Linked DNA regions of Drosophila melanogaster. The protein of the gene in region 1 interacts with the protein of each later gene in a pairwise test. Each region holds a gene or a part of one and is shown on either strand. Other genes may lie near its edges.

What was found.
Region 2: the proteins of CCDC53 (region 1) and CG12822 interact in a two-hybrid assay, tested with the Drosophila melanogaster proteins (one large-scale study listed by BioGRID).
Region 3: the proteins of CCDC53 (region 1) and CG5446 interact in a two-hybrid assay, tested with the Drosophila melanogaster proteins (one large-scale study listed by BioGRID).

Annotation. Positions count from the first base shown.
Region 1 is NT_033779.5:8,039,197-8,042,433, forward strand, and holds CCDC53 (Coiled-coil domain containing 53), read left to right. Parts: upstream 1-1,909; 5' UTR 1,910-1,952; coding exon 1,953-1,997; intron 1,998-2,056; coding exon 2,057-2,502; intron 2,503-2,562; coding exon 2,563-2,602; 3' UTR 2,603-2,683; downstream 2,684-3,237. Other genes in the region: RpL36A (ribosomal protein L36A), read right to left, coding at 2,792-2,929. UniProt on the Drosophila melanogaster protein: Acts at least in part as component of the WASH complex which may regulate wash nucleation-promoting factor (NPF) activity and is required for its membrane targeting during endosomal sorting.
Region 2 is NT_033778.4:7,830,151-7,834,428, forward strand, and holds CG12822 (uncharacterized protein), read left to right. Parts: upstream 1-2,020; 5' UTR 2,021-2,153; coding exon 2,154-2,215; intron 2,216-2,305; coding exon 2,306-2,492; intron 2,493-2,551; coding exon 2,552-3,541; 3' UTR 3,542-3,691; downstream 3,692-4,278. Other genes in the region: CG18853 (uncharacterized protein), read left to right, coding at 1-247; Prosalpha1R (proteasome alpha1 subunit-related), read right to left, coding at 361-842, 1,131-1,307, 1,370-1,445; Atg10 (Autophagy-related 10), read left to right, coding at 3,788-3,883, 3,949-4,105, 4,163-4,278.
Region 3 is NT_033779.5:12,426,127-12,429,807, reverse strand, and holds CG5446 (uncharacterized protein), read left to right. Parts: upstream 1-2,098; 5' UTR 2,099-2,240; coding exon 2,241-2,339; intron 2,340-2,420; coding exon 2,421-2,582; 3' UTR 2,583-3,177; downstream 3,178-3,681. Other genes in the region: Trm1 (tRNA methyltransferase 1), read right to left, coding at 1-10, 68-1,147, 1,211-1,665, 1,725-1,751; Fam92, read right to left, coding at 3,472-3,681.

The DNA.
Region 1 (3,237 bases):
GTGAGACTTTGATGAACGGCGGCCGGGTTTATATACGCAGGTAGCAAGTCAAAACACACACACACACGCGAAAATTGTATTTAACAATTGGTACATGCAGAATGCTTATATAATTTCAATTGTCATTACCAAGGGGAGTACGCAATGCTTGATGGATTAACCACGACCATGTGAGGATGAGATATAAATAATAACTGCAGGCAAGCTATAAACGTATGCTAAGCTATTTATTTAATTTATGCCTAGTATTAACGAATGAAAGAAAGTTACAAACAAACAAAACAAACAAAATGTTGGCGCCAATCGCTGATCCAATGGATTTCGTAGTTGAATATAAATAGATTCGCTTACCATGGATGCGTACTCGTAATTTTAATCAAGTAAATTAATAACACGATGAATGAACAGATTTAGATATGTGACTTGAACGTGAACGCCGAGCAACTCAATATTAGTTTTTAGTATTACCAATTATTATTATATTATTATTACAAATTACATTTACGTGAGCCTTTCACCGACCGACACTCTCCACAAACCTTAAAAACACCCAAAAACTTGATATTCGAAACCGACGAATCAGAATCAAAAACGATTGCGATCTGTGTACACCAAGCAAATCCTCTATTATTTAAATTACGTATTTTAATTTACGCCTTAGTTGTTACAATCGAGAATCCGAATCGCCTTTTGGATTACCGCGGTGATCCGAAACTCTGATGAGCCGATGATGAATGATAATGGTAATAATTAAAATAGTTGTGGACGACCATCGGGGGCAGCCACTCACATATACATATATATATATATATATGTATATATATATACATAAAACTATTGATTTCTAATTTTAACTGTAAATTCTTGATTTTTTATTACCGTGTATTTTTATTTTAAATAAAGTTTTACAAAAAGAAGCCCTGTGACTTGCGTCTGCCTTTTGATTTCTCACAATTCTCACAAACAGCGCACAAACTATTCAGATTCAGTGATGAGAACGTTGTAGACCAGCTGGTTCTCGTTTGCAACGGTGGCAAAAGTTAATAACTTTCACTTGGCATTTTCATTTTCGAACCGTTCTCGCTGCTGGCAGCATTTTTGATTTCTTAACTCAGTTTTGCGAACTACACCGCACAGAATTGAAAGCATTTTCGTTTCTACAAACCATTACAAATCCACTGCCGACAAACACAAGCTGCACGCATGCGTTTTGTTTCAACAAAGACCGAGAATTCGGATCAGCAATGAAATTCTCAAAAAAAAAAAAATTGCTAACAAAAAGTAATGTAATTCTCCAAACAAATACAAATACAAATAATAAATAAAACGCGGATCCGATTTGGCATTCCAACTAATACTTAAGCCGCAGAAAGCGACGCCGAGATGGGCACGATAAGCATTATTTAACTAAGTCAAAATAAAAGTTCATTGTAGATTTGAGCATAGTGAGAAGGTCCCAGGTCCTAATGGAACACCCAGCACATAAGTTTATACATACATATATAAATAATAATGTCAAAGGAAATGCATATTAACTGAACGATACTTTTATAATAAATTGACGAAGAAGTGCATAATACTCGGAGAAATAACATTCACACATTTCATGTTAAGATACAATAAAGTGAATAAATAAAATATTTAAAACAAAATGGTGGATTTGTTGTTGAATGGGTTTCTAAGCTATAACTATGTATTTATGTATATTATTCGTTTTTTTTCACTTTAAAAATGAAATTTCAAAACATTTAAATATGCACACAAGTTTTTTGAAAGAAACTTCAGTTCTATTTCATTTTTAAACTAGGCGCCAAGTTAACTGTGTTAAGTTACGTGAGAAATACCAAATTTTTGGATCAGCTTGATGTTGAGCGAACAATATTTAGTATCGTCAGTCAGCCTGGCAACCCAGAAAAGTACTAAAATAAAAGACGGCTGGTGAAAATAAAATAATGGATGCAACTGCAGCAATCACCGGCAATGTGGACAAGACCCAGGTATGGGACTTATATTCAAGGGTGAACTGCACCTGCAGCTCTCAACTCTGTTCCTCCAGATACCGCCGCTGAACCAGAAACGCATCCTGGCCTTCGTTAACCATTTCCTCGTCAGCACCTGCACCTTTCTAAATGAATTTGCCCTGGGCTGTGAGACGAAGTTCGTGGAGATGGAACGGCAGCTGCAGAAGACGGAGGCCGCCCTCATCATCCTGGAGGCCAAGCTGGCGTCTATACCCACCGAGCACCATGTAGCGACTGAGGCTACCGAAGCGCCAGCGATATCAAACCAGCAACGCAACGAAGAAGCATCCATGGTGGACACCACGGAACCACCGACCACCGAGAATCCTACGGAGCCGGAACTCCCGCCTGAATCGGTTGGTGTGCGCGCCTGTGAAGATCAACGTTACAGAAAGTTCTTCAAAATGGTGCAAGTGGGTGTGCCCGCACCGGCGGTTAAGCAGAAAATGCAATCCGAAGGTCTGGAGCCGCGTATTTTAGAGTAAGTTCCGTGGAGAGGTTTGGCCAAATTGAAAGCTCATCAAGCTCATTTCCATTGCAGCACACCCGATCTGATCCTGGCGGATGGCCAGCGAGAGTGAGCTGCCTGGCGCAGAGCGTGATCTGATCTTGTGATATAGCACATGTTGCTACACCTTGCAATTAAACATTTTTTAAAGCTTACGTCTACAAGTTTATTTTGTTTTATTTGCCGCCGTGCAGCGACGCGAAAACAACATAAAACCACTTCGTTAGCGAAAAAAGGATTTTTAATGGTGTAAAGAAGGTGCCTAGAACTGGATCATCTGTCCCTTGCGCTTCTTGTCACCGCCCAGCTCGAAGTGCTTGCAACGCTTCAGGGGAGTCTGCTTGCGGTATTTGCACTCGGTGCACTCCATACGCAGCACAATCTTCTTGGTGGTCTTGGCCTAAAATGGAATTAGAACTCCAGTTAGCAAGCGGCATACAAATGGTGGTCATGAATTCATTTGGATTGTCTGAAGTTGCCGGTGGGGCGTTGTGGGCATGGATGCCACACAACGTTGCCTTCACGGCCGCACCAGTGCAACAACAGTTTTGATCTGGCACAGTTTTTTCCCACCAAAAAGCATAATGCTCAACGAGCGCAGCGATTTAGTTCTACGAAGCGCCATTCCAGGGATTCCAATCTAGCCGCCATTAGTGTCGATGGCAATCCGGCGGCAAGCGATCCCGGTAGCATTAGACGAATGGGGGC
Region 2 (4,278 bases), on another chromosome or scaffold:
GACAGCGACACCGGAGCATGCGTTGGAGTACGCAATCCTGCTGAACGACAAGTACAGTCTGGATGGTCGCGACCCCAACGGCTATGTGGGCTGCATGTGGTCCATTGGCGGCGTCCATGACATGGGCTGGAAGGAGCGGGCTATCTTCGGTAAGGTTAGGTACATGAACTATCAGGGATGCCGTCGCAAATTCGATGTAAATGCCTTTGTCATGCGATACGGCGGTAAGGTGCACAAGAAGAAATAAAACGTTTTCGGATTTGCCTTTGTTTTGAATGCAAGCCAAGAGCATTTTTTATTTAACCATAGATCCAAGAGGCTTTATAAAATATGACAAAATTACAGCTAGCGGGACAGAACTTAGTCCTTCTCGGCGATCTTGGTGAGGTGTTCCTCGATCTCCCGCTCATCCAAAATACGGAAAGTGGGATCAGACTTGCTGACCACGCCGATCTCAATGCCGTTCGGCTTGAAGTCTATAGCGAGCACACTGGACAGACAGGAGATGGCCAGCTGGATCGCTTTCTCCTCCGACAAGTTGGGCTTGTACTTCTTTTCCAGATAGCTGTTGGCCTCCAGAGTCTTGGCACCCACGCTGCAGGCCTTGAACCCGCTGAAGTAGCCAGCCGGGTCCGTCTTGTAAACGCTGGGGCCGATTTCATTGTCGTAAGCGATCAGCACCATGCTGCAGCCGAGCGGACGCATCTCGGCATTCTGCGTGTACACCTGGTTGATATCCGCAATTCGACGACACAGCACATCCACGGGCATTTCGTAGCCGTACTTGTAGCGGAAGTTGGCGGCCTCGTATCTGGCCTTCTGCACCTGTGAGCGGGAATCAGCTAGGGGAGAGAAATAATTTTAAGTATTTAGTGACACTCTTGGGTTGATATGTCCTCTTTTCTAGTTGAAGCACCGTGTGAAAACTACGTTTAAAATGGCTCCACGCTATACGCCTTTGCCCTAATGTCTGGCAGGCTATTTCTTCTGATTTTAGCACAATCATAAGTGAATCGCTACTTGGTTACATGGGACATATCAACAATGGGATAACTCTGTGCTAACTCGACTGGAATTTGACTCGAATCACGCCGGGATAAACAAGAATTTAAAGTATCTATGGTTCATACCTATGCGTCCGGTCATTGCGCATCCAATGTCCTTGGTGATGCGGAACAGGTGGGTCACCGTTTCAGGCACGATGTTCTTCTCGGTCACTTTTTTTTGGGTGGCCACCACGGCACAGTCGCCACTCTTCAGCGCCACCGTGGTGATGTTCTCCTGGGCAATAGCCTTGAAGGCGTACTCTGGCGGGGAAATGAGAATGTCAGACTGGATACAATGGAGCCGCAAGTGCCAGGATACTAACCCACTTGGTAGAGGCGTCCCTCCGGAGAGAAGATCGTGATGTGTCTGTCAAAGCCGGCTGAACTTCCGCGAGACATGATGCTTTCTTCGTGCTTCGATAGCTGCAATAGACAACGCCGGTTAAAATTCAGTTCTCAAGTCTGCCGCAAGCAACACACCTTTTGAACAATTAAAATTTACAAATTTGTATATAGCAGGGAAAATGTCGCTTCAAATCGAACCTACTGTGCAAAATTCAGATTGTCATTCTCAGCCCGAAAATGAACCTAAAAAATACCAAAAAGAAACGCGCGCTGGGATATATCGTTTATCATTGAAATCGAATATTTGGAAAAAGCCAAAATAGTGTTAAGCTACGCTTACAAAATGTTTAAATTATTCCTATTTTTATTTGTGAATTATTGTAAATTAGTCAACATAGAGCAAAGGGATTTGTAAAAAAAAATATTAACAAACATATGTAAATTGAAGACAAAACTTTTACTGCTCAGTAACGTTATCTTATATAATTTTTGTTGAGGCTTACAACGTTATTTCTTAAGAAAATGTTTGTAAAAAAAGCTATTGAGCGCAAGCTAAATCTAACTGGAATTAAGGCAGTTGGCCGTAACTAAGCACAGGTGAACCTATCGACAATCGATAACGTCGCGGTGCCGTGCGTAAGTGATGGCCAACTCTAGCTGGATGTAACCATTGAGAATCGAGGTAAATATTGGTCAATAACAGCGGAGAACGCTGCAATTGCGGATTATTTGGGAGTCAAGTGCGCGTTGCCGGCAGCGAAAATGCACGAGGATGATCTGAAGAGTCAGTTGACCATCGCGCGGAACGAGATCAACAATCTCAGGTGCGTTTGAGACAGGCAAATTGCCATGAGTGTCCTTTTGCTACTGGTATAGTTCAAGTTCACACCGATTTTGCCTTGACCATGATGCAGGCAGCAAGTGCGCAACCTGCAGCATGTGCAGCGCAAGGACATTGAGACGATAACCCGCCTGCTGCAGGACTTCCGCTGCGAGGGGTGTGCGAACAACAACAAAAGCGCCAAGGACAAGGTCGCCGGCGAGAAGCAGGAGCACCAGCACCAACAGCAGACGCAGGACCAGCAGACGGGCCAAGGTCAGGTGCGTTTGACCCTCCCACACACTGAAAGACACATACAAACCTCGCACCCAATCCTTAGAGCAATTATACCAATGGTGGGCACTGCTTGGGAGAGGACTACGCACACTTTCGGCCCATAGGAGTGATCCGGACAGCATTCCCAGAGAAGCGGGCCGTGCCGAGGCAGTCAATTGTGGGCAGTCGCCTGCGGGGTATCATCCAACTGAACGACGGTGTGTTCACCAATCCGGAGCACTCCTTGGAGGGACTAGAGGACTTTTCCCATCTGTGGCTCATCTATCATTTTCACCGCAACAATTCCCACCCCAAGGCCAAGGTGGCGCCTCCCCGTCTTGGTGGGGAGCGGGTGGGTGTGTTTTCCACACGATCTCCACACCGCCCGTGTCCCATTGGTCTCTCGTTGGTGGAGATTGAGAAGATCGAGAACGCCACCATTAGTTTCTTTGGTACGGACATGGTAGACGGCACACCCGTGTTGGACATTAAGCCCTACATTCCACACTACGATGCACCATCCTTGAGCGTTGACTCAGGTACGTTGGACGAGAATCAAGCAGAAATGCAACTAAAGTTCTTGCCCCGGACAGGAAGAACCTCTGTTGGACCGCATGAGAGCAGCCTGGACTTCTACGACTCCAGACAGGAGCCTGACGGAGAGGAATCGGACCTGGAACTGTATGGAGCAGCTGGCTACAGCGGGAACGCGGGCATTGGAGCTGACGCTATTCTGCCGCCACCCAGCGCCGTGCGAGTGCCCAACTGGGTGGTGGCCAGCAATAGACTTAGCGTGACCTTTAACGAGCATGCCGAGGCGCAGTTAAAGGAGCTGCAGGTGGAGAAGCAGTGCATCGTGGACATTCTGGAGGCGGATCCGCGCTCCGTTTACTTGCGCACAAAATATGGCTCGCAAATATTTACCTTCCAGCTGCGGGAGGTCACGGTGACGTGCAAATTTGATGACAAGGCCGGCACGGTGACTGTGGTTCAGGTCCGGCGCAACGAGAATGTCCAGGTTACCGCCCTGGACGGCGACCTGCGCAGCGCCTAACTTATGGATTATTGCAATTGATATTCGTTAATTGACGATTTGTGTTAAGCTTAAGTGTATTGTGTTGAGGAGCTTTAACCTTTGGCGTTTCAATTTTGCTCTAGAATACAGGACATTCTTAAATATATGTATGAGGCTTGTTTCCCACGCAAAAGAAATTGTTTTCTTTCAAGTATCGTTACGCGTGGGTATTTGAAGTGTTTAAAGATTTTAACACGCATATTTTTGTGCTTTATTTTCAGCATTATGGGCGACTTGAGCTGGAAAGATTTTTTGAGCCAGGCCAAGCAGTTCCTCGAAATTTCGCAGAAGTTGGGTGATAATTGGATATTGGAACAAAAGGTATCTCGCAGTGCGGATTTTATAATTCGGGCTAATTATTTAATACGTTTTCCATCCCAATTAAGGACTCGAATGAACCAAACACCTATCTCAAATGTAGTCAGAAGATTAAATGCCGAGGTGGCAAGGACAACTCGGCTGAGTTGGTTAGTGTGGAGTACCATGTGGTCTTCAGTGTTTCCTATCAAGTACCAATGTTGTTCTTCCAGGCACACAGATCAGGTATTTACATATTTTACAAAATCTCACTAGATGTGAAAATAAATCCACTTATCGTAGATGGAAGTCTTTTGGATGTGGAGGCCACTTGGCGAATGTTCATGCCCGAATCGAAGGCCAGCGATCTCCACCAGATACTCACCCAGATGGATCACCCGGTGCTTTTCAGACCCTTT
Region 3 (3,681 bases), 4.4 Mb from region 1:
GTCACCAATCCTGAAATTGGATGGGAATTTAGTATGCGAAAGTGGGTGGCTCGATTACTTAGCTTACATAATAGTGGCTCTGGTTCCAGGTCCCCAATGTGGAGTCGGATTCTCTTGGAAGCGCGATAATGCCGATTTGCGACTCTTCGGGTTCGCCTCCGGATGGAGTTCATCGAACTCGTAGACAGCAGTGCATTCTTTCGAAAGTATGGCCGCCAGTGGAGATCCAGGAATCATCCTTTCGGGATTTACCGGATGTCGCTTGCTCCAGCTGCGCAGAATGTCCCATAGCACCGCTGGTGGAGCATTGGTTTTCAACGAATTCTTCGAGGCATGCGAGTATGAGACTCGATAGCCAGCGTGGAGAATAGCAGACCGGAACTTTAGCATGGGCACGATTTCTAGCTTGAGCACACAGCACAGTTTGTCCGGCGTGTAGTAAAGGGGAACATCCTGCAGCTCCTCTTGGACCATGGAAAGAACTCCAACGATTCGTCTCTGGGTTCCCAGCGATTGCAAGGTGGTCTCCTGGACCGCCGTTAAAAGATCCTGCACAAATTCGGGGTTATGAATCGGTGCCGACCAGATGGGTCCACCCAGATGATGCCTGTGACCGCAATGTTCGCACTGCGAGTTGACCGCCGGACCAGTGGGAATTCCGAACTTCAGCTGCTGGGGATTACCAGCCGTGGGATTTGGCTTGGTTATGCCCAAGGGCTGCAGCGTGAAGGTCTCACATCCGGTGCATTGGTATATCCAAGACTGCTTGCTCATCGACAGCTTGCATTGGGCCTGGCCGACGTACACACGCACAAATATCCGGATGTAAAAGTCCGCTGATATGCTCAGTAGTGGTTCGATGTACTTGCCGTACCTGTTCGCGTGGCTCTCGATGCAGTGCAGCAAAATGCGCAATGCCATCTCGTGACAGCACTTCATCCGCAGCGGAACCGATCCGTATTTTACATAGCAAGCTTCCGGAGCATTTCCGGCCAGCACGGCCATGTCGGTGGCTGTCACCAGCAGCAGGCCGCCGTCCACCAGGCACTGCATAGCGCCATCCAAAAAGCGATTGGGACATCCGTACGGATCCAAGTCAACTGCATCAAAACGCTTCTCGGGTTGCGTCGAAAGATACATGAGGGTCCTGTACGATGTATTGGAATGCCCCATTTTATACCGTGTGCCAATAGCTTAATTATAAACCTACATTGCATCGGAGTGACTGGGCTCGATCAGCTCCTCCACCTTGTTGTGCCGGATGTTTGTGTTGATCGAGGCCACTGCCTGGCGGGAAAGATCGTTGGCCACGATCTGGCGTACACCGGCGATTTCCTGCGCGTAACGGATGCTACGCAAACCGGTGGCTGCCAGTGCCTCCAGGATCCGAAGTCCATCCTCATATCGAGTACCGGCCTCATAAACAGGTGGATCCTCGGGAACGGGAGTGGTCTTCTCATCCTCCTGTTCCTTGACCTTCTTCCGCTGCTTTTTGAGCGCCTTTTCGCTCCGCTCCTTGGTCAATCTCTGTCGATAAACATTCAGAGCAGCAATGCTCAGATCTCGATTGAATTCCTGGACAGGATTGTAGAACACATTGCCGCCGGAAACGATCTCCGCATTACGTTCGCGTATCACGTTTTCGTTGGGATTTTCAGCAATAATCTGCAATCGTAATGCTTAGCTTAATGTGGTTTATTTATAATGTGTTTTTCTTTAAGAACCTGCGGCTTTTCCTCGTCCACTTCCATTTGGATGAGTTAAAAGAATACACGTGGGGCAGTGTTGAAAAACGTAAGCTACTAGCTATTAAGCTTTAAAACTAAAAATATACACAAATTTGTTGTTTTTTATATGAAATACGAAATAAACATTACAGAATTATATTTAAGTTTAATTTAGTTTCAAAATTTACAATTTGGGTATATTCTCTGTAATAATACATCCCATAAAATGATGTTGAATAAAAATGGTTCTTAATATTTATTTGAATTATTTAAAGATTAAAATAAATTAAAATAATAAATTGACATTAAATATGACTGGAAAATAAAACTTGAAGCTAGCTACTTTGCCACCACCAGGATTATCGAAAGGACTATCGAACCAAAGTCCGCCCCTATGCTTGATAAAGAAATTAATTTGCAGAAGTGAAACAGCCGCAGCCGCAAACAGAAGCAAAAGAGCTAGAAGTGATAGCATTTTTGTACTTTTATACAGTGCCACAAAGAAGCCACAGAATGACCGATCTGCGCAACGAGATGGACAGCGATCTGGACCAGAACTACTCCCTGAACAGCAATGCGGACCCCAAAAACATGCAGGAGCTGACCATATACGTGAGTAATGCCCGAACCGGGAACCACCCAGTAAATAGAGACACCAAATGAGCACCCAGTAAACCTGCCTCCTGTTATCAGGTACAAAATCTGTTGCAGAACGTTCAGGACAAGTTCCAGACGATGTCGGACCAGATAATAACGCGCATCGATGACATGGGCAACCGCATCGACGATCTGGAGAAGAGCATTGCGGATCTGATGAACCAGGCCGGGATCGAGGGTCAGGGACCGGAGAAATGAGATCCGTAGCGCTGGCACGGCCACGCCCATTCGGAAAGTGCATCCCAATACCATTAGATACATACATCGAACACCTGGCACCCAGTCACCCGTATCAAGTTTACAATTCCAGGTTCTCACATTCATTTAATCTCCTCCGCACCCAGCTGCTCCCCAAGAAATGAAGAAAAGAACACATTTGCTCATCCATTTATTGCTTAGTTTTAAGTTTCGCCCGGTCGGGGCACATCATAATTTAAGTAAAGTAATTCTTTTGTGAGCAATGGCCAATAATTTTGAATTATTGCCGTTTAGTTTCTATTTATAAATTAAAAATTCAAGAATTGTAAATTCCCTGCTATTTGGGTGTTCAGGACTTCGATTTAACAACGGTTACCAGGCGACCAGTTCCCGATTTGTGTTTCCTCACCTGAAAGTTTATTGCGAAAAGGGGAAGAGAAGCGCGTCATTTCCGCTTGATTAGTTATGATATGCATATATTTAGTATTGTTTATCTGGGACAAATAATGCAAATCGTGACCCGTGTCCATTAATAAAAAGTGTATGGAAATCAGCGCTGAATGGCAAGGAGTGCTATATAACAATCCCTACTTTTAAAAGGAAAATCAACATTGATTTGTGGACCAGAATGATTTTCGAATATTAATTGCAATTTGTGTTGCTTCTACATATCATGTTTTTTAAGGCAATGAGATAGAGAGTGGTAATACATTCTGATTAAATTATGAAAGGAAGCTCTGAGACTGCGGGGTTACAAAAACCAATTAAGATAAACCCTTAGAAGTATGTTCCTAATTCAATTTTATTTAAGCTCTTGCTACGATTCCAGAATGTGCCTGCAATACTGATGTGAGCTCTAGGAACTCTACTACTGGTCATAATTTGAGTGCTAGTGCTGGGGCACGTGGAACTGCTTCTGCAGCCTTACATGGGTGGAGGCCACCGCCTTGAATGGATGTTTGACCGTTTGTCTGCTGGGCTTCGAAGGAGCAGAAGTGGCACTGGCACTGGTCGATGGCGTGGCTATATCCTTGCTGGCAGATCGGATCTTGGCCCCAAAAACATTCTCCCGCGGAGGAACCTGGTTGCCCGGCTGCGT